7 linked regions of the Oryzias latipes genome follow. The protein of the gene in region 4 binds, or shares a complex with, the protein of the main gene of each other region. Links are inferred from orthologs where the notes say so. Each region holds a gene or a part of one and is shown on either strand. Other genes may lie near its edges.

What was found.
Region 1: pfdn2 (region 4) and polr2e share a complex: the UniProt entries of both Homo sapiens proteins name them as parts of the PAQosome complex. The link is inferred for Oryzias latipes from reciprocal best matches to the Homo sapiens genes PFDN2 and POLR2E.
Region 2: pfdn2 (region 4) and pfdn6 share a complex: the UniProt entries of both Homo sapiens proteins name them as parts of the PAQosome complex. The link is inferred for Oryzias latipes from reciprocal best matches to the Homo sapiens genes PFDN2 and PFDN6.
Region 3: pfdn2 (region 4) and ASNSD1 upstream open reading frame protein share a complex: the UniProt entries of both Homo sapiens proteins name them as parts of the PAQosome complex. The link is inferred for Oryzias latipes from reciprocal best matches to the Homo sapiens genes PFDN2 and ASDURF.
Region 5: pfdn2 (region 4) and ruvbl2 share a complex: the UniProt entries of both Homo sapiens proteins name them as parts of the PAQosome complex. The link is inferred for Oryzias latipes from reciprocal best matches to the Homo sapiens genes PFDN2 and RUVBL2.
Region 6: pfdn2 (region 4) and uxt share a complex: the UniProt entries of both Homo sapiens proteins name them as parts of the PAQosome complex. The link is inferred for Oryzias latipes from reciprocal best matches to the Homo sapiens genes PFDN2 and UXT.
Region 7: pfdn2 (region 4) and pdrg1 share a complex: the UniProt entries of both Homo sapiens proteins name them as parts of the PAQosome complex. The link is inferred for Oryzias latipes from reciprocal best matches to the Homo sapiens genes PFDN2 and PDRG1.

Annotation. Positions count from the first base shown.
Region 1 is NC_019862.2:26,974,666-26,978,924, forward strand, and holds the start of polr2e (DNA-directed RNA polymerases I, II, and III subunit RPABC1), read left to right. Parts: upstream 1-1,325; 5' UTR 1,326-1,442; coding exon 1,443-1,499; intron 1,500-3,236; coding exon 3,237-3,411; intron 3,412-4,259. UniProt on the Homo sapiens protein: DNA-dependent RNA polymerase catalyzes the transcription of DNA into RNA using the four ribonucleoside triphosphates as substrates.
Region 2 is NC_019868.2:26,684,630-26,689,062, reverse strand, and holds the start of pfdn6 (prefoldin subunit 6), read right to left. Parts: upstream 2,812-4,433; 5' UTR 2,677-2,811; coding exon 2,613-2,676; intron 2,457-2,612; coding exon 2,386-2,456; intron 2,298-2,385; coding exon 2,173-2,297; intron 1-2,172. Other genes in the region: mmgt1 (membrane magnesium transporter 1), read left to right, coding at 4,271-4,349. UniProt on the Homo sapiens protein: Binds specifically to cytosolic chaperonin (c-CPN) and transfers target proteins to it. Binds to nascent polypeptide chain and promotes folding in an environment in which there are many competing pathways for nonnative proteins.
Region 3 is NC_019879.2:16,672,378-16,675,592, forward strand, and holds ASNSD1 upstream open reading frame protein, read left to right. Parts: upstream 1-1,291; 5' UTR 1,292-1,370; coding exon 1,371-1,451; intron 1,452-1,741; coding exon 1,742-1,795; intron 1,796-1,891; coding exon 1,892-1,967; intron 1,968-2,081; coding exon 2,082-2,122; 3' UTR 2,123-2,132; downstream 2,133-3,215. Other genes in the region: asnsd1 (asparagine synthetase domain-containing protein 1), read left to right, coding at 2,133-3,215.
Region 4 is NC_019876.2:18,973,687-18,978,000, forward strand, and holds the start of pfdn2 (prefoldin subunit 2), read left to right. Parts: upstream 1-1,405; 5' UTR 1,406-1,416; coding exon 1,417-1,527; intron 1,528-3,779; coding exon 3,780-3,868; intron 3,869-4,096; coding exon 4,097-4,220; intron 4,221-4,314. UniProt on the Homo sapiens protein: Binds specifically to cytosolic chaperonin (c-CPN) and transfers target proteins to it. Binds to nascent polypeptide chain and promotes folding in an environment in which there are many competing pathways for nonnative proteins.
Region 5 is NC_019872.2:21,690,829-21,695,010, forward strand, and holds the start of ruvbl2 (ruvB-like 2), read right to left. Parts: upstream 2,804-4,182; 5' UTR 2,694-2,803; intron 1,922-2,693; coding exon 1,867-1,921; intron 1,696-1,866; coding exon 1,640-1,695; intron 1,201-1,639; coding exon 1,059-1,200; intron 961-1,058; coding exon 831-960; intron 754-830; coding exon 687-753; intron 582-686; coding exon 475-581; intron 367-474; coding exon 273-366; intron 1-272. UniProt on the Homo sapiens protein: Possesses single-stranded DNA-stimulated ATPase and ATP-dependent DNA helicase (5' to 3') activity; hexamerization is thought to be critical for ATP hydrolysis and adjacent subunits in the ring-like structure contribute to the ATPase activity.
Region 6 is NC_019865.2:33,765,873-33,770,274, reverse strand, and holds the start of uxt (protein UXT), read left to right. Parts: upstream 1-1,531; 5' UTR 1,532-1,654; coding exon 1,655-1,752; intron 1,753-4,402. Other genes in the region: cdk20 (cyclin-dependent kinase 20), read right to left, coding at 591-704, 787-867. UniProt on the Homo sapiens protein: Involved in gene transcription regulation. Acts in concert with the corepressor URI1 to regulate androgen receptor AR-mediated transcription. Together with URI1, associates with chromatin to the NKX3-1 promoter region.
Region 7 is NC_019863.2:18,202,481-18,206,831, reverse strand, and holds pdrg1 (p53 and DNA damage-regulated protein 1), read left to right. Parts: upstream 1-1,507; 5' UTR 1,508-1,551; coding exon 1,552-1,635; intron 1,636-2,386; coding exon 2,387-2,462; intron 2,463-2,604; coding exon 2,605-2,679; intron 2,680-2,758; coding exon 2,759-2,839; intron 2,840-2,914; coding exon of another isoform or gene 2,915-2,940; exon of another isoform or gene 2,941-2,981; intron 2,982-3,814; coding exon 3,815-3,897; 3' UTR 3,898-4,346; downstream 4,347-4,351. UniProt on the Homo sapiens protein: May play a role in chaperone-mediated protein folding.

The sequences.
Region 1 (4,259 bases), on a different chromosome or scaffold from region 4:
TATAAAAACCTAAATGGAATTTAGCAATGTGTTCTTAAATGGCAAAACATACAAAATGTGAAGGTAAATGTAAAAAAAATAAAAAAGTAAGGCAGAGGTTTTTTACGTCATACAAAAAAAAACATCTAAAATGTTGACACTGTGATATGTTTATCAGCTGGTGCCAGTGAACAGACGGAGTGAAGGATGCTGGCGCTGCTCCAGCGTTTGTGACTATAGTCTGTTCTGTTCCGGACTGTTCGGAACCATCCAGAACTCGCTGGCTAACAAATATAAGAGGTTTATGAGCTTATGGAGAAATCTCCTTACGAGGTGTTAAGCAGAACGATGACAAAAACACAACAATAACAGGAGACATGCCTACGTATGCATAGACATGTAATAATACATGTACTCCAATGGAAACGCATGCACTGTGCTAGGCTATGCAATCAGGTTATAGAGAAGAAATACTTTACCGTGGTGGACAAAACAAAGTACAGTACCATCGCCAGCAGTGCTCCGCTGCTCGCTATAGCCCCAACTGTCAACATAACAATTAATGGCCTCATTTTTGACAGCGACTTAAATAAAAATAATAATAAAAAGGCCCCAGTTATCGGAAAAAATCTATTTTGTTCATTGTAAGCGCACGTGACTCATTTCCACCCAGTGTTGTGAAACTCAAGTGGGTGGAGTCAAATGCTTGACAAGACAAGGAGGAAATGACGTATGAGGTTTTTCAAAACAAAAATAAAAATAAAATATAGGTCAAAACGTTCAAAAAAAGGGGGGGGGGTAGGAGATAGAGGTGCACGATATGAGGAAACTCGCGTTCTGCGATATCAATGATCAATATTGCGATGACGATATAACTAGCGATACATGAACAAATAGCAAAACAGCCAAAAGACAGTTTCTATTTCACTGCAACAGTTTAATTTAAAGAAGAGTCAAGATGACGTACTTAAATTATACTCAATGACCCTCGTCTACATTCTAAGATTTTATCTATTTTTATAGATAAAATGTGTCATAATTAAAACATAGAAGGTGATATATTTATTTATTATTAGCAAAATATACTAAGCTTTTTTAAAACCTAAATTCAGTCAGTAAAAAATAAATTTAGAAAGAGATTTTTAATTCTGAAGCAAATTTTTATTTTAATTTATTTTTTTTACCATAAGTAAATTGTCTTCAGATTTACATTTCCAATTAGCCGAAGTTAAAAAAAAATACCGAATAATTAAGAACATTTTATGAAGACTTAATAAATTCGCTCTGAAGATAATAACCTGGAGGACTTTTCTTTAAGAACAGTTTTTTTAAACGTCAACTCGATCAAACGCAATGCATTGTGGTATATAATATTGGCCAAGCCAGGAACCATCGATGCCATCGGATTTTTAGAAGAATATTAGTGATTTAAAAATACGAAAAGGAGAATAAATTGAGAAAGGATGGACGATGAAGAGGAAACTTACCGGCTGTGGAAGATCCGTAAAACAATAATGCAGGTGGATTAAATAAAAGGATATACTAGCTTAGCAGCGAACTAGCTGTTAGCTTCACATGTGGCTCGCGTTAAAGAGTCGCTTTTGACTGCCATTGTTAAAGTTGTAACTAAATCTTTTACGTTTTGTGTGTTAATCTCTTATTCTCAGTGCAAGTCGTTCCAATTACGCGCTCAGACTTTTTTTTTTAATTATTATGTGTAGGAATGATGCATTCGTTAGCCTCGTTTGAACGAAGGCTAACTTTAGCACACCCATGATGACCCATTAAAAAAAGCCAACATGTTTTCGTACATGTAGACTACATGTATGACAACATGAATGCTTCAAATCATTAAATACACTTTCACAAAGTTTGCTGCTAAACTGCTTTTAGATTTTTGTTTCTGTGATGTACTGAAATATAGTTATCAGCTCTTTATTACGTTTAGGCTTTTTTTAATCGACAATAATTATATGACATTTATGCAGAGAGTCAGGTTTTGCAGTGTTGGACTTCCTTTGTCAGCACCCCTGCAATTCGACTGGGCATGCTGTCAATCAACTTTAGGGCCAAATCCTGACCGATAGCAACCCAGATTGATTAAGATCTGGGGAGTTTCCAGGCCGTGGACCCAAAATGTCAACATTTTGGTCCCCGATCCACTTAGTTATCACTTTTGCCTCATGGCACGGTGCGCCATCGTGCTGGAAAATACATTGTTTGACGCCAAACTGTTGTTGGATTGCTGGAAGAAGTTGCTGTTGGAGGGAGTTTTGGCACCATTCTTTATTCATGGCTGTGGTTTTGGAGAAAAATGCGAATGAGCCCACTTCCTTGGATGAGAAGCAACCCCACACATCAAGGGTCTCAGGATGCTTTACTGTTGGCACGACACGGGACAGGTGGTAGCTCTCACCTTTTCTTCTCCGGACAAGCCTTTGTCCAGATGCCCCAAACAATCGGATAGAGGCTTCATGGGAGAATAGGACTTTGCCCCAGTCCCCAGCAGTCCACTCGCCATACTTTTTGCAGAAGATCAATCTGTCCCTGATGTTTGTTTTTGGGGTGGATAAGTGGCCATCTTCTAAAAGTCTCCGCCTCACTGTGCATGCAAATGCGCTCACACCAGCCTGTTGCCATTCCTGAGCAAACTCTGCACTGGTGGCGCTCCGATCCCACAGTTAAAACCCATTAGGAGACGATTCTTGGCACTTGCTGGACTTTCTTGGACGCTCTGAAACCTTGTTAACAAGAATTGAACCTCTTTCCTTGAAGTTTTTGATGATCCTATAAATTGTTGATTTAGGTGCAATCTTAGCTGCCACAATATCCTCGCCTGTGAAGCCATTCTTATGCAACGCGATGATGGCTGCACACGTTTCTTTGCCGGTCAGCATGGTTAACAGTGGCAGAACAATGATTTCAAGCATCACCCTCCTTTTAACATGTCAAGTCTGCCATTCTAACCCAACCGGCCTGACATCATGATCTCCAGTCTTGTGCTCGTCAACATTCTCAACTGAGTTAAAAAGACGATGACTGAAATGATTTTTGGGGGGGGGATTCATTTAATTTTCATGGCAAAGAAGGACTACGCAATTCATCTGATGACTCTTTGTAACATTTTGGAGAACATGCAAATTGCTATTATAAAATCCTAGGCAGCAACTTTTGCAATTTCCAATATTTATGTAATTCTCAAAACCTTTGGCCAACACTATACATATTAAAATGTTGTTTGTTTTTTTTAACCACAGCTCTGCCACGATCGAGGCTATCTGGTAACACAAGATGAGTTGGACCAGACCCTGGAGGAGTTCAAGAGTCAATTCGGAGACAAACCCAGCGAGGGTCGTCCCAGACGGACGGACCTTACAGTCTTGGTCGCACACAACGATGATCCCACTGATCAAATGTTTGTTTTCTTTCCTGGTAGGTTTATACTTGAGAATAATTTGGGAACTCATCCTTTTATCCATAAAATAACCAAAAGTTTAAGTTACACTCCAATCATATTTCGATTTATTTTTAAAGGAGTCCCCAGTGGTATTATATTTATGAATGCTCTGTTTTTAGCCAAATTCATAAAAACCTGTGTGGGCATCACTGTTGGCACGGACGTAAGCCCCTGCTGATATCCCATCATCCCTTTTTTGTTTACACACTCTCCCATTAGATTACATTGACTTTATTAGAGAATTGAGCCATGGTGACGTCGCCTTTCTTCCGGCTCCAGAGAAATGAAGCCAATAGACCCTTTTCATGGTGACGTCAGACAAAACAGAGACATGGGCGCCATTGTGTCACCGTACTTCTGGTTTTAGACGAGCAAAGCTGACAACTGAACGCTGTTTAACACCATTCTATGAGAAGAATACACACTAACCTTACCAATCGCAACGGCACTTTTTACATGATTTATTTTATAAATGTCATATCCAACTGTAGTCAATTTCCTCTTTTAAATCTTTCACAAGTCAAAATACAAATTTAAGTAATCCATCAATATTTAAGGTTCAGTTGAAAATATCAACCTTTCATTTGAGTCTAACAGGTTATATTTTTTTACAGTTTCCTATTCTTTTTATCATTTTTCTTTTTCGCAGATCAGACACAGTTATTGGCAATAGCAAAGAGGTTCAGTGTTAGAAAATATTGCAACCGTAATTAGTTGTACTTTAATATAAGACACACTGGAACTGTCTTCAATTCTGTCATATTTGTCCTCCATATTAAAAAAACACCGTTTTCACCGGGGTGGCTCATCAAACATGGGAGCA
Region 2 (4,433 bases), on a different chromosome or scaffold from region 4:
AAGAATAACACCTGAAGTAACCAAAGCACGTGACCAGTATTATAAAGAGAAGTCTAAGAAAAAATACAATTTTAAAGACAGAAAAAACGCTCAATAATAATCTCCAACAGGATGAATGAGCTGCTGTAAAAACAAAAGACTTGTTTTTACAACACAGTACAGAATATCAAAGCTAATTCTTGTTTTAACTGAAGAAAGAATTACCTATAGAAAATAACAGGCAAAATACTTGTACAACATAGATATGTAAATAAATAAACAAGAACCTAAAATAGTGTGACACAATCCTCCTTTTGATTAATGCTAAAGTCATTTTTGACAGATTTAAGATACAAACTGCTTTACGATTTCAGTGTCCGACGTTAAAAGATGAAATACAAATGACACTAGGGCTGCACGATATGAGGAAAACTCGCGATATGCGATATTGGTGATTAATATTGCGATAACGATATAATTTGCGGTATATAAACAAATGTCAAACCAACCAAAAACATAATTTCCATTTCAATGCAACAGTATAAAAATCATACTCCAAATGACCCTTGTCGACGTAGGAGGCAAACATCAAACATAAAAGGGCTCATTTGATTGATCAACAGCGTAAACGGGTCCTTCCGATTGGTTAAATGCATAAAGGGATTTATTTCATTTGTTCAATATTTCAAGCTGCCATGAGTTTGTTTTAGCACACTTAACCCTTGTGCTATCTTAGATGACCCCCCCCTTACATTGACGTGTTCTCCCTACCATGACAAAGGTGGACAAAGGTGGAAAGATTTCATGTAATCCATGGACACCAGTGAAGATCACAAATTATTGAAGAAAAATTGTTCAGTGCACTGTCTAGTGGGTCTAGATGACCCAACTCCCAATGTTAAAGTGCCTAGGATAGCACAAGGGTTAAGGTAACCATTTATTGCGATTTTCGCCGTCTTTTGCGGTATGCATATTGCACAGCTTGATGTCGCGATAACGATAAATTTGCGGTATATTGTGCAGGCCTAAATGACATAATGAGACGATAAAAGCTAATAAATAGGTTAATGTCAGAATATTTATTCACAATTACTATTCATTTGTTTAAAATAAATGATAGTTTGTATTAATTGAACAAACAATTTAACAACTACAAACATAATGATATGAAATATAATATTATGGGGAAAAAACCTGTCCAAAAGTATCTCAGATGCATGGACAGCAAATATAAAACTATTTTAACTTTAAGAACATGTAAATATTATATGACATAATTAATTTAAGGCCCCAAACGGACAGCTGTGGGATCCCATTTATTTCTTTTTTGAAGGTACAACCAGCCAAGGTCAACTTTTATTTCTGCACAACCCTTTTTTCATCAGCCACTTTTCATCTTCCATTAATTTAAAAGAAACTATGAGTACAGTCTTTATTATATATTAATGTAAAAAAAAACACAAGCATATCTGTGACATGCATCTGTTTTCCCCAGCATAAAGTGTGTCACAGTAATGAAAAAAAGAAATATTTCTATTGAATGAAGCAACATAATACCTGATATAATCACTTAGCAACACTGTTAATTTAATTTTAAAGCAAAAGCTGTATTCATTTTTTTAATATATTATTTTATTTCCCCCAAAATTTGACTAATTACTCATCTGGGGCACATTGGACCCCATTTATAATGTAAAGATATAAGATAGTTTTCTGTCTGCTAAAATGTCTATATGTTTAAATACTACAATTATGGGTTTCAGGTCAAAAATTAAGCCTTCACCTTTCAACTGTCAGTCTTAGGATATAAGATTGTATCAGTAGAAATTGAATATTAAAAGGTTCAAGGTATGGCGTAAATTTAAGGCAAATTATGTGATTCTATATTCTATAAAGACAGCTTAAATCAGGTGTTCTCGTCGTGCATTTTGTTTCTCTATTTATTCAAGGTAGAACTCAGAATTTGTGGTCAAAATTTTACCATGGCGACGAAATATGTTCAAGTCTATCCTGAATTTTCAGAACTACCCATAAAAACTAGATTTCCAGCTTCTGTGGCTGATATTTCATTACAAATAAATGACTATAAACGTCTCTGCTTATAGTAAGTGCTATATATTATAAACTAAAGCTTGAAAATATCATTTTAACTAGGGCATCCCATACATTTTCTTTTGTATTTCTTTTCCTTACATTTCTCCATTGATGTACTCCAGTCTTTTTGTGACCGTGGCCTTGGCTTCATCCAAGTCTTGCTTCACTAAAACTGGACCGATAAGCTTGTAAATGGTGTTAGAACTGTCCAGCAGATCGAGCTCCTGGAAATATACAGGTCACATCTTCAGTCAAACTGAACATAAAGATATCTAATGGACAAAAACATGTTGTTAAGGGTTAGGCGTGTACCTCTTTGACTATGTTGTTTTCTGTCAGCTGCGTCTCCAGTTTCTGCCTGACGGACATACTTTTACTCACATCTGAAAAAAAAACAGACATTTGTAAGTTGTATTTCTTTTAATACGTCAAATCTCAAAGTTACTTTAAATATTTGAAACATGGGTGCAGGCATGGCTAACTAACTGCTGCCCGATGGTAACAACATCATGGCACACTAGCAGCTAACAGGTACCTACCTTTCTGCACCTGCGAATATTTTTCTAATTCCGCTTTTAATTTCTTTTGAATTGCATCTGCCATGTTTTATGACTTGTTTGTAATAACCGTGTAAACGTTAAATAAATGTATCTAGAGGTTTCAGAGCTAACAACACAGAATGGGAGAACTGCGCTAGCTAACCGGAAGGAGCGACGGATTTAGCGGAAGTTGTGAAAGATTCACTGCCATCCAGAAAATCGGAGTTTCCGCAGTCGTACAAGAGAAGAGTTTTATCAAATATTTTCTATTTCTGTCCAATGTATATCATATTAGATGAAGAAATTGCATGAAATTTGAAAAATATCTTATTTGATTAGGATTTTTTTGACTTAGTAGTTATACACACAAGTTATTACATTATTCTCATAGTCGAACAATAGAAGATAATAGATATTTTAAACTTTGAATTGCACACATAACATTTAAAAATAAAATTAATTGCTGCCACATCTCATTCAAAAAGGTATGGATAAATCTTGGTCCACCAGCTCTGATCAGTCTAAGGGGATCTCCAACATGGAAAGAGTTGATGTCCTCTCTGTATTAAATCATAATAAATCATGTAAGGGGCTAATACCTGGCATCAAGCCACTGACCTTCAAAAATCACAAGAGAAATGAAAATTGGTTTTAAAAAAAAAGTGAGACGGCAGTTGCCCAATAAAGTGGTGGACACTCAGGGACTGTGACCCTAAAACTGGGAGAAAGATTTAAGATCAACTTTATTAATCCACTTTCAAGATCAACTTTATTAATCCACGAAGGGAAATTTGAGAAAAGCGATTCTTCAACAATAGTTTTGCCTTGGTTTGCTTTACATCAATAAACAATAGAACCTTGGAAGGTTTAGTAAGTCAGATAAGTAAGTTGAGGAATAAATGTTTGTATGGACCCTTTGTGTGCGTGTGTGTGTGTTTGTTTGAACAACTTGTTCACCTCTCGGCAGATCCCGTCATTTGTCACCACAGTGGTATTTTGATTGGAAATAAATTGTAGTATTTGTAGTATCATTGTTTTAATGAAAAATCTAAAATGCAAAAGTGGTAAGTAGTAGTAGTAGTAGTTGCTGTAATGGTAGTACATTTGTATGGGTTTTTTTTTTTATTAAAAATCTAAAATACATAGCAGTTGCAGAACTAGCATCATTATTATTTGAACAAAAACCTAAAATAAACAGTAAGCCTGTGGTAGTAGTAGTAGTAGTAGTAGTAGTAGTAGTAGTAGTAGTAGTAGTAGTAGTGGTCATGGAAGTAGTATCGTTTTGATGATTCAAAATCTAAAATACTTAGTAGTCGTATCATCATGTTTTGAACGAATTTCTAAAATACACAACGAACGCTGTTACTGATGGGAAGATTTTGGTTTTAATTATGCAATGAAAAAAAATTAGACAACCACACATCACAGAAAATCAACAAAAACGTTTTAAAGACTTTCTTTTACTTATTTATTTATTTTACAGAAAATGCAACTAAGAAAACTGCCACGAATGTACAGAAAAACTGTGTAAATTTAGGAATTAATACAAATATTTTCCGTCGTGTTTTATTCCGTCAGCGGGCGTTTTTTTTTTTGACGCAGTCGTATTTACGACGTGTTTACGACACTTTTGCACGCAGTAGCTGCTCTGCTTCGACATGGCTTCGTCGTTTTGGAAAGGTGTTGTCGGCGTTGGACTATTCGCTTTAGCCCACGCAGCTTTCTCAGCGGCACAGCGTGAGTTTCGCGTGGAATGACGGGGACATTTGTGTCTAGTTTGTCTTTTATCCCGGGTTGCCCGTCTTTCAGTGGGGGCATGTA
Region 3 (3,215 bases), on a different chromosome or scaffold from region 4:
GTTTGACCCACTGCTGAAGAAAAATCAATCACATTCGTGTCATCTGTTGATCTCTACCAACAACTGCAAACTTTATTTTTTTCAATAATAATAGATCACCAGCAGCATAAATAAGGAAAAATACTATTTTAGCTTTCTCTCCATCTTAGGAGCTTCATGGCACAGTTTTGACTCAAACTGAAGAGTAAAAAAAACAAAACAACTATGAGGTATGCAAAAGCTATTTAAATGCTGAGAGACTTCAAAAGAAAAAAGGCAAAGACAAGGTTGAAATAAGCTGCAGAGTTCAGCAGGTATTTCAACATTCATTTTTTTTTGGTTGTGTGATCTTTGAGCAGGGAGGTGGGGGTTAGGTTGAAACTGCTTTTAAAGGGGGTTAAGCATCTGTTCGTCTACAGACAGATCAAGTCAACAAAAAGCTTTAGTCCCCGAAAAAATGCACTTGCATGTGTTATTTTTAATTTGATGATTCAACATCAGCAGATGAAAGCATGTCATATTATAACTAAAATATAAAAAAGCTAAATTATCTTAAGACAAGGCAGGTTGGTTTGTCTTCAGCCACTACTTTAGTTTAGTTTTACAAGTAAACAATGAAAAAATACTTTTTTAACTAGAGATACTGTTCCAGCCTAGCAACAATTGGCTGGAGGTGTATTTCCCCCCAAAAGCAATATTTTAAGAAGTGTTTCTGGGGTTAAAGTAAAGGGTAGGGTTAACAAAGGTGCAGCTTTCAGAGGCTCTGATGTCAGAAAAAAAAGGAAAAGAAAAAAAGGAACAAGACACAGACAGTTAATTGGGTGTTTTTAAAGACTACTTAATAGCTTCAGGTGGTTTTGAAAACTGATCAAAAATGATCAACATATCAGATGTGCAATGGATTCATTATTTAATTTATGCTTAATTGATTTTATTTAATCAGTGTTTCTTTTTGTTGCTTTTTTCTTATATGGAAGTGTCACTTTAAATGAAAATTAAAACCGGGTAGAAACAGAAAAGTCTAACTTCTTCTGTCTCGAACTTGCTTAGCTGATTAAATTTTAACCCAATTCCGTTTAAAAAACTTTTTTGTAGTAGCCCAATACTATTTTTTTAGTCTTAAGAAAGTAAATTACATCAAATCTGTTATTTAAAGACATTCTTATTCAATCTGTGTTTACCCCTTGGTTACCTATAATTTGGCAGGCCCCGGACCCTGAGATGTGTAGCGGGTGTTTTACAAATCTGGCCTCTAGGCGGCAGTGTGCTTCGAACTCCCCACCTATTTCTTCACCCGGAACGGTTATGACGCATATCCGGACATGTTTGTCGCAGAAGTAGACGCTGTTAAGAGAAAAATTAGATAAAAAGTTTTCCCTCGTGGCTCCTTTATGAAAATGTCTTCAAAAAAATACAATAACAGCGATAATTCCCAAGAGCAAACCACATATAAAGAGGAACTCAGTAAAAAGGTAACTTTATATCAAAGACGCGCTACTGTTAGCTGGCTAAACAACACGGATATGTTTATTCACCTTTTTCAGCATGTATAGTAGAACGGAAAAACGAATAGCAATACTTTTGTTAGTATTTACGCACCAATAGTATGTATTTACTGTTTTAATAAGTTTCGATTTTCTCATGTTTGCTGGAAAAATGAAGGACTGCTGATCTTTAAATTAAAACTTAACATGATGGGATACATCTCCTGATGGCTTCATCATCATAGGGTTGTTAACGTTAACTTGTTGCTAATTTCCAGATCAAAGAGCAAAAGGTCGTTGTGGATGAACTCTCTAACCTAAAGAAGAACAGGGTACGGTAATTACCTTTTTACATCCATCCATCCATAAATCCATCCATCCGTCGTAATAAATTCATTTTTTATTGATTTTTTTTTTCTTTTCTTCAGAAAGTTTACATCCAACAGAGAAACAGCAACATTTTCTTCCTGGCTGACAGAAGTCAAACATTGTCTACAAGCAGAAGTATGTGTTAGTATTCATTTATCCTCTTGCATTGAAATTTTTACAATGTTGTACCATACTACAATATAACTCACCTTTTTTTTTTTAAAACTTTTTTTATTTTTATTCTTGCAGAGGAACTGGATTACTTGAAAAAAGAACTGCAGGATATTTAGAGCTGCAACAATGTGTGGAATCTTTTTCCAGTTGACTTTGTCAGCTGCTCAATTTGAGAAGGACAAAAGAATTTATGAATTTCTGAAGAGAAGGGGCCCCAACTCTAGCAGGGAGCTATCGTTTCCTGCTGTAGATTTGAGCTATCACTGCTCATTTTCTGCCCATGTTCTCCATATGAGAGGCCTCCTTACTCTTCAGCCGTTTCAAGACGACGCTGGAAATGTCTTGATGTGGAATGGAGAGGTTTTTGGAGGGATTTCTGTGATGCCAGAAGAGAATGACACCACTGTCATCTGTCAGAAATTGTCATCTTGTAAAAACTCTTTGGAGGTTCTGGCACTTCTGTCTGCCATTCAAGGGCCTTGGGCATTTGTTTTCTATCAAAAGGCTGAAGATTATCTCTGGTTTGGGAGAGACCTTTTTGGAAGGCGCAGCTTGCTGTGGAAATATGACGCCGAGATCAGTGTCTTCACTTTGACCTCAGTGGCAGCTGGGATTTCTGCGCTGGGTCAGTCTGATTGGAAAGAAGTCCCAGCTGTTGGCGTGTTTAAGGTTGATGTAAAGGCAGCTGCACAGAGTGGTTCTGTGTCCTTTGAGCTTTTTCCCTGGGCAAGAAATGTCATAAACCCATCATTGAGTGAAATGATGGTTAACTCTGTCCCTAGTGGGTGCAATTTTGAGATAAATCGAGCAGGTTTATCAATCACTTCACCTGTTTGTCCTTTGAATATGTCCATTCCAGAAAAAAAGGTTGAAGTTAATCCCAGTTCACAGGTGTCTGGAGGAAATCTAGAGGAGTTTCTAATCAGCAAGGAGAAAACTGAAGTTGTGAACCGTCTAATTGGTGTCCTGAGTGAGGCGGTGAGGCGACGAGTTCATTCGTTGCCTTTTGTGGCAAAAGATAATTTACCTCTTAGCAGTGGCCAGGCTAGCATTGCTATACTCTTTTCAGGAGGCATTGATTCAATGATCCTCGCTGTCTTAGCAGACAAACATGTACCTGTTCATCAACCAATAGACCTTCTTAATGTGGCCTTTAAACTAAAAGAGCCAAAAAAGCAGCCTGAAAAGAAACTCAAAAAACAAAGAAAT
Region 4 (4,314 bases):
TAATCTATTTACGATATGAAGTATTGTAAGAAGTAAAGAGAAAAATCACAAGTGTTTGAAATACAACAATATATAGAGATATTTAAAAAAAGTTTTTGGTATTTCATTTTATTTTTAAATGAAAGACTTTTTTTAAAAATACATACAGAAAAGGTTGGTTAATATTATACCAGAAGCTGTTTGCTATCACACTGTGGCAACAATCACATAGGGTCAAATTGTTATGCAGCGAAGTGATATACATTTGGTCTCTACAGGAAAAAGTTGAACATTTTAGCTGAAAATGAAAAAATAAATAAATAAAACAGTTAGACTACCCAAAGCTTTTGAAATGATCATTTCTAATTAGCAGAAACTTTTTAAAATTAGAAATGCCTTTCTTTCTTTAAATTTTATGTCATTGTAGCATGTCAGGCTGATTATTCTGTTAAAAGAAGTTAAACTGTTTTATCCTTTGATTTGTTCGAGGGAAAATGTTTACATGTTACACTTGTGTACTCTACTTGGATTTTATGGTAAAACATGTGCAAAATAATAATAATAATAATGCATTTTAGTTTCTAATTGGCCAATGCACAATCTAGTGAAACCCCGTGGTAGAAATCAATTGTTAGCTGATCAAATAAGCCTTTACTTACTTACTTACTTACTTACTAACTTACCCACTTACTTACTTACTTACTTACTTATTTACTTATTTACTTATTTACTTATTTACTTATTTACTTATTTACTTACTTACTTACTTACTTACTTACTTACTTACTTACTTACTTACTTACTTACTTACTTACTTACTTACTTACTTACTTACAGTTGTGGGGGGCAGATAGAAATTTAACTTGTTTCCCATTTTAAAAAAAAGGATCAATTTGATCTTAGTGCTGTGTCCGAATTTCCAACCTAATCACCAACTACTAAAAACGATATAGTGTCGTGGGTTTTAAAAGCAATTAGGACACCATCCTCACTATTTTTTTTCTTTTTTTAAAACGGGAAATATAACGTTACCGATTTCACGAAGTGAAAATCTGATCAATACATACTCCGTCGTAAATACAAGCAATTTACAACAACTATTTATTAATTCATTGCGTACTTGAAATAAAAAAAATATTGATTGTTTAAAAAAAAGCATTTCAACACATTGTTTTCGCAAAAAATGTTCAAAACGCAATGCATTGTCATTGATCTATGTTGGCCAATTTAATGAGCGTCGATGCACACTGGTTAATTTGCAGAGACTTCCGAGAAATTTCTTAGGAACTGGATTTTGAAATTGTAGATTCGGACAGCATTACAAAATTGCGAACGCACTGTATAGTGCACTGTGTAGTGAGTGGTAAAGGAATTTAGAGATGTATTTTTACACAGGCAGTCATGAGACTGCCTCTGCCTGTGAAAAAAAACTTTCACATGGGTCGGGTCCTTCAAGTGCACTCTATCAAGATGGCAGCCAACAGCAGCACGTTCAGCAAATCGAGCAGCAGCGCGGCTGGAAAACAGCCCGCGCAGTCAGCCGAACAGGTATCCTATTGAGTAGCGGAGTCTTTTGTCTCGGTACTCCTGAGATTGTGACATATTATTCGTATATATTCAGCAGAAAGTAACTAAACCGACGTACAGCCAGTCAGCGCTAACGTTAGCTTCCCCGTGGCCACAGAAGTGTCTTGCAGTCAGACCCATGCGAGGGGAAAGAAATTGTGAGCATGAAATTAGGTCCAATTTGTGCTATTTGCACATCATGGAATGGGATAACGTCAAAGATAAACTAAAGGTACACCATTCTGTATGTGGGTGGTGTGGCCCTCAGAATGGGTCTGACAGAGCATGATGATGCTATTTTTACTACTCAGACAGTCAACAACTATGCACAGCTCAAGGGCTACGGAAGCCTTTCATATAAGAAAAAAACTGTTTCAACACGTTGCCAAATTATTAGTATAAAGCGACGTCTTAGTGATAGACAATAACATGTAGACACACTATAGGAACAAATTAGCATAAAAATGGCAAATGTTGAAATGTATTAATCTTTATTCGATGTTTGTTGAAAAATAACATTAAAAATACATATGAACTTCAAAAAATTTTGGGGTCAAAATTAAATATTTTCATACAGGTTCAAAGAATACTGTGAATTAAGTCATATTAGGAAGTCATATTCTAAGTTATAAATTGCTCTTGATTGAAAAAAGAAAGTAAAGCTAAAAAAAATGGTACATACATTATATATAAAAAAAGTAAAACAATTTGAAATCATTAACATGGAGAAGGTTATGCATTTGGTCTGCTTAAATTGAACCAGAGTTCACTTTAAGGTCTGGGACCTTGACCCATCTTTGCAGGTGGTCTTGGTTAATTTCCAATCAGATTGAGCTCGGGTTCGCTCTAAGATTCCTCAATCTGAATACCACTGAACCTAAATGGCCACCATAGCTGACATAAACAGAGTAGGAATGTGGCTACAGATGAGCCGCGGACAAATAAGCAATTATTATCGTGTTATCAAACAGAAAAAAAGAGTTCAAGTGTTTATTTGTTAGAACGTTTATTTTAACATTGCTGAAAAGGCTACTTGCATGCTTTTCTGTATCTTGTTACGCGGCATTCGCCTGTGGCATGACTAAAAGCTATATTATAGTTTCCTTAACAGAATTCTCTAAAAACAATGCCCTAAAACCACAATGATGAGACACAGCAACTCATTGAAATGTGGTCAGATGAATGCAGGCTAATTAAAATCATTTTTAATGGGAAACACATTGTATCTCACTGCAGGCTGAAATGACACAATTCTGATTGTTTTTTGCCCCTATGCGACCTGTATCTGATCTTTTCATGACAGTCTGAACGACACAGATCCGATCTTTTCAAATGCGACCCAGGCCACTTGCGTATGTGGTCCTGAATCCGATATGTATCCGATCATTTCAAATGCGACCTCCGTCTGAACGTCCAGGCCACATGAATCCGACCCGTACGTCATTGATACGCTGCAAACATCATCATTTTTCGTTGAAGTAGGCGGGAACAAGAACATAAACATCAACCAATGGCGGACGATGCTGCTGAGACCAGTCAGTGGAAGGGAAGCGAAGTCACCGATTTGATTAATATTTGTGGTGACGGCTCTATTCAGGCCAAACTCCAGGGCTCTTTATCGCAACCATGCGGTTGCCCCTCAGAGAGGAGAGAGCGTGGCAGCCTACTCATACCCGACGTCTCGTCATCAATGCAGTTACTAGCATGCTCTGAGTTAAAGCACACACAGCACGTCTCCTTGCCACTGACCGCTTCGCAGCATGCCTTTGCCGTACCAAAGTAACAAATAAAAAGGCTTGTTCCCGACGTTCAAAACTGATAATCGAAAAAAATATAAAATTTTAATAATTTAACTGTTAAGCGGCACACGTCCACATTTCTCTTGTTTTGATCTGCCCTCGTAGTTCCTGGCCAATGACTGAAGAGATCTTTAGTCACATTGTTTTGTTTATAAGCTTTGGTCGCTAACAGAATGGGGCGCTTAACGCCAGTCTGATAAAGGCCTAACGCAAGGTTCGGAACTCGGTCCGGAACAAATTAAGCGGACTGGATCAAAAGGGACTGGGTAAAAAAAAAAACTCTCTAAAGTCACAATTTCCTTTTAAGGTTTGGTAAGTTTATTCAGCCTGAAAGCCCCTCAGTCTGAAACAGCTTACATGCTTGTGTTGGGATCAGACGGATGCGTCAAATGTCATTGGTCTGCATTGATGCCAGCTTTGCGGTGATGTTTTCAGGTGGTTGCCACCTTTCAGAGGATGCGTCAGGAACAACGCAGCATGGCGTCTAAAGCTGCAGAGCTGGAGATGGACATCAATGAGCACAGGTTAGCAGCTGATGACTTCTCCTCTGAGAGCTTTTATAATACTCACTTTTTATGTTTGATTGTTAGCAGGACAGCTAATTGGATCATGTTGGTCTGTAGTTAAATTGACCTTTTTACTTTATATACATTAAACTTAAAAAAGAAAAACATCTTGTAACTCACCTCGTCACATAACTGGTAAGTGGTAAAAGAGTAATAATTTTAATGTTTTTTTCTTTTTGTGTTCAGTTTAGTTATTGAAACTCTTAAGGAAGTGGACCCTTCTAGGAAATGCTATCGCCTGGTTGGAGGGGTTTTGGTAGAGAGGACGGTGAAAGAAGTTCTACCTGCTTTGGAAAACAACAAAGAACAGGTGAAAATAAACAAATAAAAGCTCTTTAACATTTATCACAGGAAGCTGTTTTTCAGGCTAATGGACATTAAAGTCTTACTCTGATCATCATTTG
Region 5 (4,182 bases), on a different chromosome or scaffold from region 4:
CATTGTGTAAAGAACAGAGAGGGGATTAATTGACAAGGTCAACAGCCAATCAGGACGCACAACACAGTGCTGTAAAAAGAAAAAAAAAACGTGCAGAATTGCAGTAAAAGAAAGCGAAAGGTGAACTGTGATATAGCAAGGGAACCCTGAAATCATAGTATTCATTATAATCTTCAAGTGATAACACTTACAGAGGCTTCAGGTGGACTTTGTATTTGACTATAACCCAAATTCAAAGTATGGTATTCAACTGTCCCATGCAGAGATCTTACCTGGGCTCCCATGGCGTCGTAGTCTCTGGCTCTAGTGAAGGAGCGCCCCAACTTGGAGATTTTCCCGGTGGCTTTGTCAATGGTAATAACATCACTAAAAAGTGTGTTTAAAGACAAACAAGAAAAGCTCCATTTAGATAGGACTGAGAAAAAAACAAAACCCAAACCTTTATATTGCTTTATGAGGAGAAGATGAACTCACCCGGCTTGAACTTTCTCTTTACTGAGGCTTTCAATCATCTTGTTCCCCAAGTCATATATTGTCTCCATCTCTGTAGTCTTCAGAGTCAGCTTCCCCACCTTTGCACCCTGATTAAAGCAAACCAGCTCAACATGAGGCGAATCAGCTAAATAAATCAACGTTTTCTAAAGCTATGGTATGGAAAGACTGTTTATGAAGTGAAAGGATCTTACTGTTCCAGTGGCGGGTCTGTCAATCTGGATTTCTACCACCTCCCCTTCAATGATTTCTGTCTCCTCTCTGGATTTATGGGGGGGAAGAGAGCGGACTTAATTTCTATCCAAAAAAAACAACCTAAACCTTGTTTATATACTTACTTGATTCTCACTCCTATAGCTTTTCTAAAAGCTTGGCTCAGTGCTTCAGTTTTGCTCATTTCCAGGGAAAAGATCTCACTTCCAGCCAGAGCTGTAAAGGGGGTGTCAGGGCCCAAAGACTGAGCAATACCTGTAGATGAAAGAAAAACATGCAACAAGCCTCAAATAGCCAACAGAACTTTGCCTCAGGTGGAAACTTGTATGCATCATTTCTGGTCCCATGCTCACCCATAGCAATAGCCGTCTTCCCCGTGCCCGGCTGGCCAGCAATCAGAACGGCCCTGCCGGCGATGTGTCCGTCTTTGATCATCTCCAGGATTATCCCTGCTGCTCGACGGGAGGCCAGCTGGCCGACCATCCCCTGTGACACCTGCAGGTGAACAGGGAACTCAACTCGTTCAGCAGCAAATATGCCTCATTCGGATTTTATCCTTTGACTTAAGGGACATTTTGAATGCTTTAAACAAGCTGCTAAAAGACTTTCCTGTTGGAATCACAACATGTGGGTTTAGTGCTGACAACAGGGCTTTAGAATCAAGTCTCGCTTTGCTACTTGACTACCTCTATACTGCTTCATGTTGTTTCCACACACAACAAAACATTAAAAGGTACATTCGAAACATTTTAACCTCTCAAGTTTAACAGCAGTTTAAAAATATCCAAATATGTTTTCCTCTGTTAAGTTTTTGCCTTTTTAAAGGACATGAATTACAAAAAAAAGCCATAATTTTATCAAAACTACAAACACCTAAAACTACTGAAGTCTTGGGTCAAAACAGAGATCAACAAACAGAAGTGCTGCACGTTACCTGTCTGGGCTCCAAAGCATCGTCCAAACCAAGGCCCCGAATGTGAGAGTGGGCCCCTAACCACACAAAGATGAAACTATTACACAAAATATTACAAACATACGGGAAATCATAGCAAAAATAAATACACACAGCTCATGTAGAGATAAGGCATGTTCTAAAGTTTACCATTCAATTTAAGCTTACCATTTATTTCTAAAGTGTTGAAAATCTGCATGGGGTCTTACCTATTCTTTCAATCCGTGTAATGTCCCGAACCTCTGGCACTTTTGTAGTTGCCATCTGTAGAATAATACATCAATGACAAGAAGAAAACAAAAAAATGCAAAGAAACATTTTTAAAACAATTTGCCTCATCGTAAACAAAAGAACAAATATTTTCAGAGGAGTTTAGGCCTTCGTTGATCTTTGACTAAATCTTAAGAGCATTTTTTATTGTTTGTTTAAAAATCCTGCTTATGAAAAAGAACAGCAAGAATTCCTTATGTGTGTGTTCAAATATCGATGACACTTTTGGATGTTTATCGTTTCCAAAGAGAGTTAAAATTTGCATCCTCCATTCACCAATGTTTTAGTGTTTTCCACATAGACTTTGTCAAAGCAATATAAATGTGGAATTCCTTTTATGCTCCACTTGTCCTGTCCGTTGTCATAGTGACAGCAATGAATGACCACACACAACACAACAGCAAAGCTTAGTCAACACTCTTTGACATTTTAAAATATATATACGCATATTTGTGAAACATATCTAGGAAGGAAAGTATTAGTAAATCAGGTTTAGAAAAATTGACACTTCACTGAAATTAGTTTATTTTCTAATATGAATACGGGGGGAGAAAATCGACAGGTAACATCAGCTAACGATATTAGCAAACAAGCTAGCATCATTCACACCGTTCATAACGCAAAACAACAGCACACGCCATATTAGCCGGGTAATAAAAGCCTGCATGACACGCGGAAGTACTTAAAAATAAATTGGCTATACTACTTGGGTGAAAATATTAAAGTCCAAATTGATTTTAACATCTACTACAAACTCAGGACTCACCTCCGCAGCCACACTTAAAAAACGTGAGAAGCGCCGCTTCTTTCTCAGGGAGTACTGGTTAAATGTGTCCGACAAGAAACATGCGAAGCCGTTCAGTTCCGCTACTAGAGTTTATTGGGACTGCCCTCTATAGACTCAAATGTGAATTACAAATCTGGCGTAAAAGCCCGGATTTGTTTTTGAGATGAAAGCTACGTTTTTGTCTTGATCGTCACGATAATGATAACCTGAAAATACTTAAATACTTCGAAATTATCTTTCTGTGTGTCAAATTTACTACCTAACAAATAATGTTTTTGGCATTTTTGATACCTATAACTATTAGAACTGAAATTTTAAGCATTCAAATACAGATTAAAGATTAGAAAGAAAAATAAACTCAGGTTGCTAATAATTTAAGACCTGGATTGCAGTCATCTGAACAAAATAAAACCAAGGAATCTAAAATTGTAGTTTAAAAAAATACTTTAAACTTAAAGAAATGCATAAGAAAACGTCACATTTTAAACAACTTATCATGCTGTTACCTTGAAAAAAAGATAATTAAACCTAAAACATCACAAATATTCATATATTTATTTCCCAACAAATGTAAAAATATGATCATGCATTAAAAAACATGTACTCCCTTAATATGCACTGCTTTTATAATGTGTGCTTGAAGTCCTTATGGTAATTTTCTCTCTTTATCATGACTTATATAATCCATAGGTGATCTCCTGAACCAAAACTGGTCAGAGAAACTAAGAGGTTTCAAAAACTTTCCATTTTGACCCAAAAGAAACCCTGTTGGTTTGCAGAGGATGTGACTAAACCTGATTAGTCTGAAGAAAAGCCCAGCAGCACTGCACAGATTTTTCCACTAGAGGATGCAAGATTAATGTTGTGCAAGGATCCTCATATAGACAAAGTTATAGTAAGAGATCTACTAATAAACCAAAGTTATAGGATTGATGACAGAAGCCACATGAAACTAAATGATGCTTGTAGAGATATTTCAGTTAGAGGGAGTAAGTGTAAACAACCCCTACATAAGGTATGAAGTGTAGGAATGGGTGTTGTTTCTTATTATTTACCTTGTAAAAAAACTGCATCTCCCTTTTTTATTTGCCAAGTCTGAGGATAATCTCTTTATCCTCAGAGAAATTGTTGAAAATGTTTAGACGAAATAACTCGAAGGAGCAGACCCCTCTGAAGTGCTACAGAGGGGGTCTTAATATCCTTTCCATAAATCATCAAATTCAACCCTCAAGGCTGAAGGGTTCCAGATCATAATGTTTCATTCAGGAAACAGATGGATGCTGAAAATGACAGGTTCTTCAAGACTGAAATGAAAGAGACAAGGATGAAGCAAACTCATCGTTGTTTCATTTCAGGCGTCAGTTGTTGGGTGTGGCAAACAAGTTCAGCAGCACCCACTTGAATTGCTGAGAGGCACTCACAAATTGCATTTTTTGTGTAGACGGACCAGAGTCCGTTGGGTTGAGTG
Region 6 (4,402 bases), on a different chromosome or scaffold from region 4:
CACACAGGACTGATGGTAGCGCTCACCTTTTCTGCAGATTCCCCAAGCAATCAGAAATGTTTTTGGAGAGAAGTGGCGTCTCTCCAAAAATGTTCTTTATGATCCTATAAATTGTTGATTTAGATGCAATCTTAGTTGCCACAATACCCTCCCCTTTGAATCAATTTTTATGCAATACAGTGATGGCTGCACACGTTTCTTTGCAGGTTACCATGGTTACCAATGGAAGATTAATGATTCCAGGCATCACCCTCCTTTTAACATGTCAAGTCTGCCATTCTAACCCCATCAGCCTGACAGAATGATCTCCAGCCTGGTGCTCGTCAACATTGTCACCTGAGTTAACAAGACGATGAATGAAATGATCTCAGCTGGTTCTTTAATGACACCAATGAAATGCCGTGGAAAGAGTTTTGGGGGATTAAGTTCATTTTTATGGCAAAGAAGGACTATGCAATTCATCTGATCATCATAACATTATGGAGTATATGCAAAATGCTATTATATGTATTTAAGCAGCAATTATTTTCCAATTTCCAACAATATTTACGTCATTCTCCAAACCTTTGACCACGACTGTACACACTCACGTGCTGGTTGTCCTCAATCTCCTGCAGAGCCTTGATCTCCCTCAGAGCCTGATTGGGAATGCCGTCCTCCAGCTTCCTCAGAGCCACCTTCTTTAGAGCCACAGTTTCCCCGGTCTGTCAGAAACACGTTCATCCATCAGCCTGAATGATCACCTGTTCAGGTGTCTGTTTTTTCTGCTCCATGAACATGTTTCACCTGCACGTGCTTGGCCTTAAACACGATTCCGTGAGCCCCTTCTCCAATCCGGCCTAGGATGCTGTACTGCTCCATGATCATCCAGGACCCCTGCAGCTGCAGCGGGGATCTTTATGGACTTGGACTTGTTCCTTTACTTAACGGTTTTTAGTCCACGGGTTTTAAGAGCGGGGCTCCGGCGCGTCCAACCAAAATAAGCACGACATTTTGAACGGAACGAGACCGGAAGTGGGCGCTGATGTTGCCTCGGTCACATCTGATAAATAAAACTACGAAACTTTAGTATATCGTTGAATATTTAGTATAGTGCTGGATATTTACTTGATGCGTAAAGCTGATGACATGTACGCGACACCAAATGTGCGCTGTCCTTTGGCACTTGACGAGATATTTTGAAAACGTTTCAACTATAGTCAACGCAGCTCTCCGCCATGTTTGTTGACAGTGACGTCATCACAGGACAATCCAAATCAACGAAAATAAAACAACGAAGAAGAATAAATAAAATTAGCACAACCAGCCATTAAACAAAAACATATATATTTTAAAATTCATATTCACATAAGGTTTAACCCGGGAATTAGTTTATGAATAATTGCCACGTTCTATATATCTGGTAGAATATGGAAGAATAAATGTAAGTGAAAATGACCAAATAACAACTGTTTGCACAAAGTGCTTTAAACATAAAAAGAAATTAAATGTTCTTTTTTCTGCTCCTCTTCTACGCTGAAACCTGGAAGTATCTTGTCGGAGTACTTCCGGTTCAGAATCTTGTTTAGATGACTGCATGTGGGGCTGTGAACTTCTTTACAAGTGTCTGAGCTGAACCGGCCCGCAGAGCCCCCGCATTAGCCCCCCATCCCCGATGACTCCGCCCACAGACGCCGGTTCTGACTCGAGGATGGAAGAGAAGGTCCTTCAGTATGAAAGATTCATCGAGGAAGTTCTGAGGAGAGACCTGCGGTAAGCCCCTCTGGGTTCTGCTCCGGTTCTGAAAGTCCCCCTCTGATGAAAATCATGTTTTGTGACATTGTGGTATTTGTCTTATGAAATACAACAAATGGAATTAGACATGGTTTCATTTTTGCATTTCTGAGTGTTTCTCCTTTTAAACCGCTGTCAATCAAACTGTCTCAAAGACGCTCTGTTTGAACTAATGCGGTGTTGTGACGTCACAAAGGCCCAGGGGAGTATTCCAGAAAGCAGGTTATGCACCCACTATTGGAGAAAAATTGCCCCAGATATTGAATGGAAGAAAGTTTGGACTTTGTCCTCTAAATATTTTATTTCAAATAAACCCCGGGATGTTTGTTTTAAACTTCTTCACAGATGCTACCCAGCCAAATCCTCATTACACATAGACATTGATAAAAATTGCTCCTTTTGTAAATTAGACACTGAAACAATTATACATCTTTTCTGGAAATGCCCCCCAACAGCAATTTTTTGGAAAGACCTTACCTCCTTTGTTCGATGTTAAATTTATGAAAAATTTGATTTGGTATACAAGGATATATTATTTGGTTTTTATAGTGTTAATAATTCACTAAGAAGGGAATACTATTTAATTAACCTTTTGATAATACTAGCCAAATTCCACATACATAAATGCAAATTTTCTGAAAAAAAGCCCTTATTCAAACTTTTTATGATTGAGTTGAACCAATATATCAAAGCAATAAAACATTCTTCCAACCCCAAAGCTATAAGAACCTTTGACACCCTGGAATTTTTTTAAATGTACAGAATAGCAACTTACTGCTTTTTCTGCTCTTGTTTATAATTTTTTTTTTCTTCTTTCTTCTCCTTTGTTCTTTTGTTCCCCTGGCACATTTTGTTACTCTTTTTTTTTATCTGTGTACTTAAAATTTACTTGAATGAGTATCTTGTATATCTTCAATAAAGTTTATTAAAAAAAAAAAAAAAGAAAGCAGGTTATGCTAGCTCCCTCGGTACGTTTGAGGCTAAGGAAGTTGATAACCTCAGCTTTCAGTTCCAGAAATAGAGGTATGTTTCAGGTTATGTCAAGTTGCCATAGCAACTCATGCTCTGAACATAACCTGGTCTGGAGCAGGTTTAGTTGAAGGTTAGTTTGTTTACAGAGAGGTGAAGCAGCATGGCGTGTCCATTTGAAGATGATTTAGTGGATGAAGAAGCTCAGATAATACTTTTTACACCATGAGAGGGTGATAAGACCACATATGGATGTTGGAAAGATAAACTTTTTTACTTTGATCTAACTTCATTATTTGCTTCAGTTAAGATAAATAATTTTTTTCAGTTCAGTCAACTTAAAAATAACACATAGTTGTCAGACAGTTATTTTACTTTCATTCAAATTAATTCAATTGAGTAGGTGTAACTTTGGTGCTGCTGTTAGATCGGCACCGCAAGGGATTGTGGGATAGCATTCCCTTTGCCTGTCTGGACGGATTTGGGTTTAAGTGTGGCTTTTTGACCAAATGTGTTTAGTTGTTTAGCTGTTTTTATTGTGTTTTGCCCAGTTATTTGTCCTACTATGCTTAGGTCTCTGCACCATGAGGGAGAGGATGATGAGATTATATATATGTTATATATAGAGAGACCTGAAAGAAAACCTAAAGTTCAGGAGGTCAGAGCAGGCTGGCTCCCCATCCTGCAGCAGGTCTCTGTCTGGCCCCCAGCTCGCCTCCTGGGAGCCGCATAGTGAGATCAACCGCTCCAGCTCCATGGGCCCTGGGACAGACTGTCCAGGCTTTAGCCGCCTTTGTTCAACAGCAGCTGGTGTAGGTAGCATAACCATTCAGCCTGCAATAACCGTTTGGGGTCCTTTCGACTGAGGATGATGTCACATTACGGTAGCCCCACTTGGACAAACTACGTAGCGTGGAGATCTGCTCGGGCTCTACATATTCTCATTTCACGTTTCCTTTTATAACATAAAGTTCTTTTCCCTCTTAAGTTGTGTCTGACATTATTCTTTGTAGTGTTTATAGAGATTTTGCCACAACCCCCTTTGTAAAGATCTGTGGCTGCTAGAATGAACCTGCTGCTCCACAGAGTGAACCCTGTCTCTGAGCAGAGCAGCTGGAGTCTCGTAGCTTCGTGTTTACAGGCAGGGAAGCTGCTTTGTCATAGTGTGCGGTCTGGAGAAGGGTTCTGAACGCAGTCCATTCATCTGCAATGCACCTAATAATAATCATAATATTAAAAGCACGTTTAGAAGATAATGTCGCTCTGTGTCGGAGCTCTGTTTGTTTACAACGGACCGTATAATATCTTCTTCTATGGTAGTATTGTCATTTGTCCAGACCAATCACTACCTGACACGTCATTGGACCAACAGACAGTCATCACATAATGTGACGTCAGCACTAGTCGAAGGACCCTGAACGGTTGTTGCAGGCCGAACTGTTATGGTACCTACACTGGGACGGTACTGAAAAAAGTCCAGCGCTTGCCGGACTTATTTGGAAAATTGCAAGAGAATTGTTACTTTCTTTCTGGCCTTTCATTTGAATTGCTGTGCAAGTGAATTCAACAATCTGCATGTCGTTGCATCAAATCAGTGCTGCTTGCTGGTGCAATGTAAAATCTAAATTATAACGTCATTTAAAGCATTTTTCGCGTTCTT
Region 7 (4,351 bases), on a different chromosome or scaffold from region 4:
AGAGCAGAATGTAAAATTAGTCTTTTTTTCCTTTTTTTTAAGTACTTTTTTGGGCAATAATTTATTATAACTAGATACTGGAGATAATTTTTCAGTTTTTGATATCAACTATCTGTAAATGTGCATTTTATGATTGTTTTGAAGCTGTTTCAGGGGAAAAATCCTTCAGTATGTTTACATAACTGCTACATGTCAAGGAATATGGACAAGCCTGTATGTTTTTAATTAAACAACAAATCTTTTAAAATGTTTGTTTTCATGTCCTAATAACTTGATTATGAAGCTTGTGGTTTGTCAAAATAAATAACAGCTACATTTACAAGCAGAAGGCAGTAATGCTTCCCAACCCTGGGTTTTATATTTGTCTTTCTGCACGGATCTTTCTCAGGTTTTTGACCTGAAGATGTGAAAAAAATCTGAATTTTATTTACAGAGATTGAGATATTTTTAAATCTAATGTGTTGTCTAATGTTTCAGTGTCCCCCATCCGCTTAAGTCTAAATTTTAAATACATGATCAGAATAAATTTTGTTTAACACTTAAAAAAATACAAACACACCCAATAAAGCAAACAGATGAATGAACCAGTGGTCCAGGTTTAGCCACTTAATTTTACTTTGGGCAAATACTGAGACAAAAAAATGTAAACTCTCTTTTCATGTACATTTGGATAACATTTATACTATACGCAGCATAAAACACAGCTGTTTATTCATTTCGCCTCCTCAGTTTCCAAAAAAGCAGTGAAATCAAATGTTTGTATGGGCATCAGAAATATTCTGCTTGTCATAGGCCAATGGGAAATCTTATATGTTCAGATGGTTCAGACTTAAGTTCATCATTAGCAAATATTAAAAACTGTAAATAAGAAAGTAGACCAGATATTTCCAGCAAACATTGGGGGTTACTAAAAACAATGCGGGTCATTGTGATATTTTCTGGGTTCAGCTCATATAGAGAAACAAGATGATGAAATAGCCACTAAATGTGCTTGAATAGTTTCCAATAAAGGATTTTGAGTTAAAGATCAGTCTTAGCAAAGCAGAGATAAAAACATAATCAAAGAGAGAAAGAAATATGACGAAGACACTGGGAGAAGGAACAAAGGAATAATAGAGGGGAAAATGATGAGAGCGGGACAACATAGGATAGGAAAAGAGCAATAACTAGATTGAGACGTAAGACTCGAACGTTTTTAAAACATGAATACATTTTTTTTAAACTAAAAAAAAAAAATCCAAATTTAAACAACCTTGAAATGTTGAACATGAAGTTTGAGGTATCTGTAAATTTAGGCAATGGTCGATGTGCGCTTTTTTTTATTTATGAAATTTTTGCAAATTAAGATTGAATTCATTTTTTGAGAAGATTCCACTCGAATGTAAGTAAGAACGTGAAAGTTAAGAAAAGATCCCGGTTTACACTCCACTCCAGTTGGCGGCGGTAACGACCAGCAAGCTGTTTGCCTACCGCCAAGAAAATGCAGAAGATGAAGCGTTCCGCCTTCTCTTGTGTTTCTCGTAGAACATATTTAGATGCGACACCGCCAACATGGATGCGGGTTCGCAGCGTGTGCTGGACTACCTGACAGAAGTGGAAGAAGCAGCCGAGGAGGTTATCACAACCAAACAGCAGGTATGTTGTGACGAACCGCAAATCGTTTCTTTTTTCAAAAGTCATGTTTAACATAGATAGCTTCAGCTAGCAAAGAGGTCACCGAACCGCTTCACTAGCTTAAAAACAAGTGATACTGAAGTTCAAGTTGGGCTGCCTGGATGATGATCATGATGGATCGAAATTTCTGTTCACAAAATTGAGTAAAAAATATCCTAAAATAATATTTTATGTCATGTTATACTATGAATTAGATGGCGTGTCCAACAAAATATTTTTTGTATTGATGATCTGTTTGGGGAAATTCCACTCACAGAGATGTAAACAAAAAAAGAAGTGTTTTCCTCTACTTAAACGTAATAAAGTTGAAAAGAAATTAGATAAAGATTAGCTTGATACCACTCTTGAAGAAAGACAGAAATTCAAAAGTTCTGCTTTCAATCTGGCTCTATTTGACATTTTAAAGATTTTATAAGAAATTTATTTGCAAATGAAATTTTCTATAAACTACAAGTGGATATTTTAGCAGCTAGTGCAGCAAACACGGACAATTTCTCTTTTAACATAAAATCTACTATAAATTTTGATCATAATATCTGTGACATAAATGGACACTCTGTCTTTGTTAGTTTAGTTCACTTTATATTCTTTTTGGCTGTCACCAGCCAGGGTCTTACTTTGACCCATTTTCTTCATTTAATAACCAAAAATTGGATACTAAATTAGGTAAATATGAATTCATGTGTCTTTCTTTTTTTTTTCTTTTCTTCAGATAGTGGACCTGGACTTGAAGAGAAACCGGAACAGGGAGGCGCTGAACGCTCTCAAACATGAGCTGTCTGATTCAGGTGAGGCAGGACCGGGTCCCGTCATGTTTAGAGGCAAGAAAGGAAAACCTGATCGCTGCATTTATGAAATATGTCAGAAGTGCTGCTGTTAAATAACAAACCCAGCCTTTTCCAGCCTTAATGTTCTTGTTTTTGTTTGCAGAGAATGTGAAGGTTTGCTTTGGAAACATGTTTATTGAGTTTGACAAATCCAAAACTAAAGGGATGGTCCAGAAAGGTAATCCTTAAAGAAAACACACTTCCATGCTTTATGTGTTTATTCATAAAAATAAAAATGTATTTCTTTTGTGCTGCAGACCAAGAACAGCTGGATAAAGAAATAAATAACCTTCGCAGAGAACTGAAAACTAAATTCAATCATCTCAATGAGATTCAAGGTATGCAACTCTTTCAAAATAAGAAAACAAAAAAGGAAAAATTAAAGCTGACAATTTTAATAAAACGCTTTACAGGCTGTGTAGCAGAAGGGGAAACGTGATTCCTCCCTCTGGTCCTGCCCTCCTGTTGGAAGGAGAAGAGGTGTTGCATTTCTCTTTTGGATGAACATAAAGGGGTTTTGGGAAGAAAAGAAGTGCTGTAAAACACTGGTAGCCATTTGGAACAGAGGATGTTACTTTTGACAAGTTGAAAACTCACAAAACTCAAGAAAAGTTAATAAGCTAAAATAGGTTCCTAATTCCAAAATGTTAAACTGACATTTGTGAAAATGTGAAATATCAAGACAAATTAATTAACAGCGTTCATTTGGGGCTTTGCACTGTTTCTGTAGAGTTCAGTTACACAACGTACTTGTCGGTCGTTCCGGTTGAAGCCAGTTGCGTAACTGCGGAGTCCTAAGGTGACACAAATAAATACTGCAAGCTAAGAGTGGAAACACCAAGACAACAGCAGACCTCATAATATATCTTTGTTTACAGATTTCTTTGCATTTTCTCTGACTGAGCTGCTGTAAGGTTCCAATGCCACAAGGGGGCAGCACACTCAAAAGCAGGCGAAATGTTAGTCTACAGATGTTTTCCACCTGCTCACACCTACAGACTGATCTGATCTGCACATGCACTCTTCTAGACACTCAGTTCAGGAGCCTTTACTCTGTGTCCAGGTCACTACAAACATTTTTTTTAATCATTAGTGCGTCTCTAGAGCTATCATTTTCTTTAGTAAAATACAAACAAATTAAAATAAAGTACCGTAAAATGTTTGCACCAGGAGGGGTAAAACTGTCTCATAACAACAGCAACTAGTGGAAAAGATGCCCTGACGCTTCATTCAAACATTCAGAAGTCAAAGTAAGTTTCATCAATTAAACTTTTATTATTGAATAGCTAAAACTATTCCCTTCATTTCTGTAGGTAAACCGGAGCTCAGAGGCTACAGACTGTCTGCACTGTCCTCTGAGGAGATCAAATCTATCAACAGCCTCCTGAAGACCTGATTCTCCGGCTGTTTCGAGTCACTTCTGAGAGAATGAAGCGCCAAAGCTGCAGGCCTGAGTTCCAGCGCCACATTTAAACATCATTTAAACATGCTTATTAAAGGCACCTTGGCTGGACGGTTGGACTGTCGGGGATTCGTGCAGGACACTTCTGCAGGTTCAAAAGATGACAAACATGTCCTTTTTTGCACCCGGTTCCTGGACTGTTTTAATAAAGTTCATATCTATTATATTTACAGTTTTAAAGTTGTTTCCTTTAGTAGACAGCAGCAGAATCTATATTAAACATCTTCTAGAATTGTAGTAGTTAAAGATGGCTGTACTGACTGGTCAAAGTCCACTTTCCAAACTCTCTTTAAAGGAGATGTTTGGATGTCCATGTTCCTCTGACTCTGAAGTTTTTGTGTAAATAATCTTTTAAAAGAAATAAAAGAATTTATTATCAAGTACATCT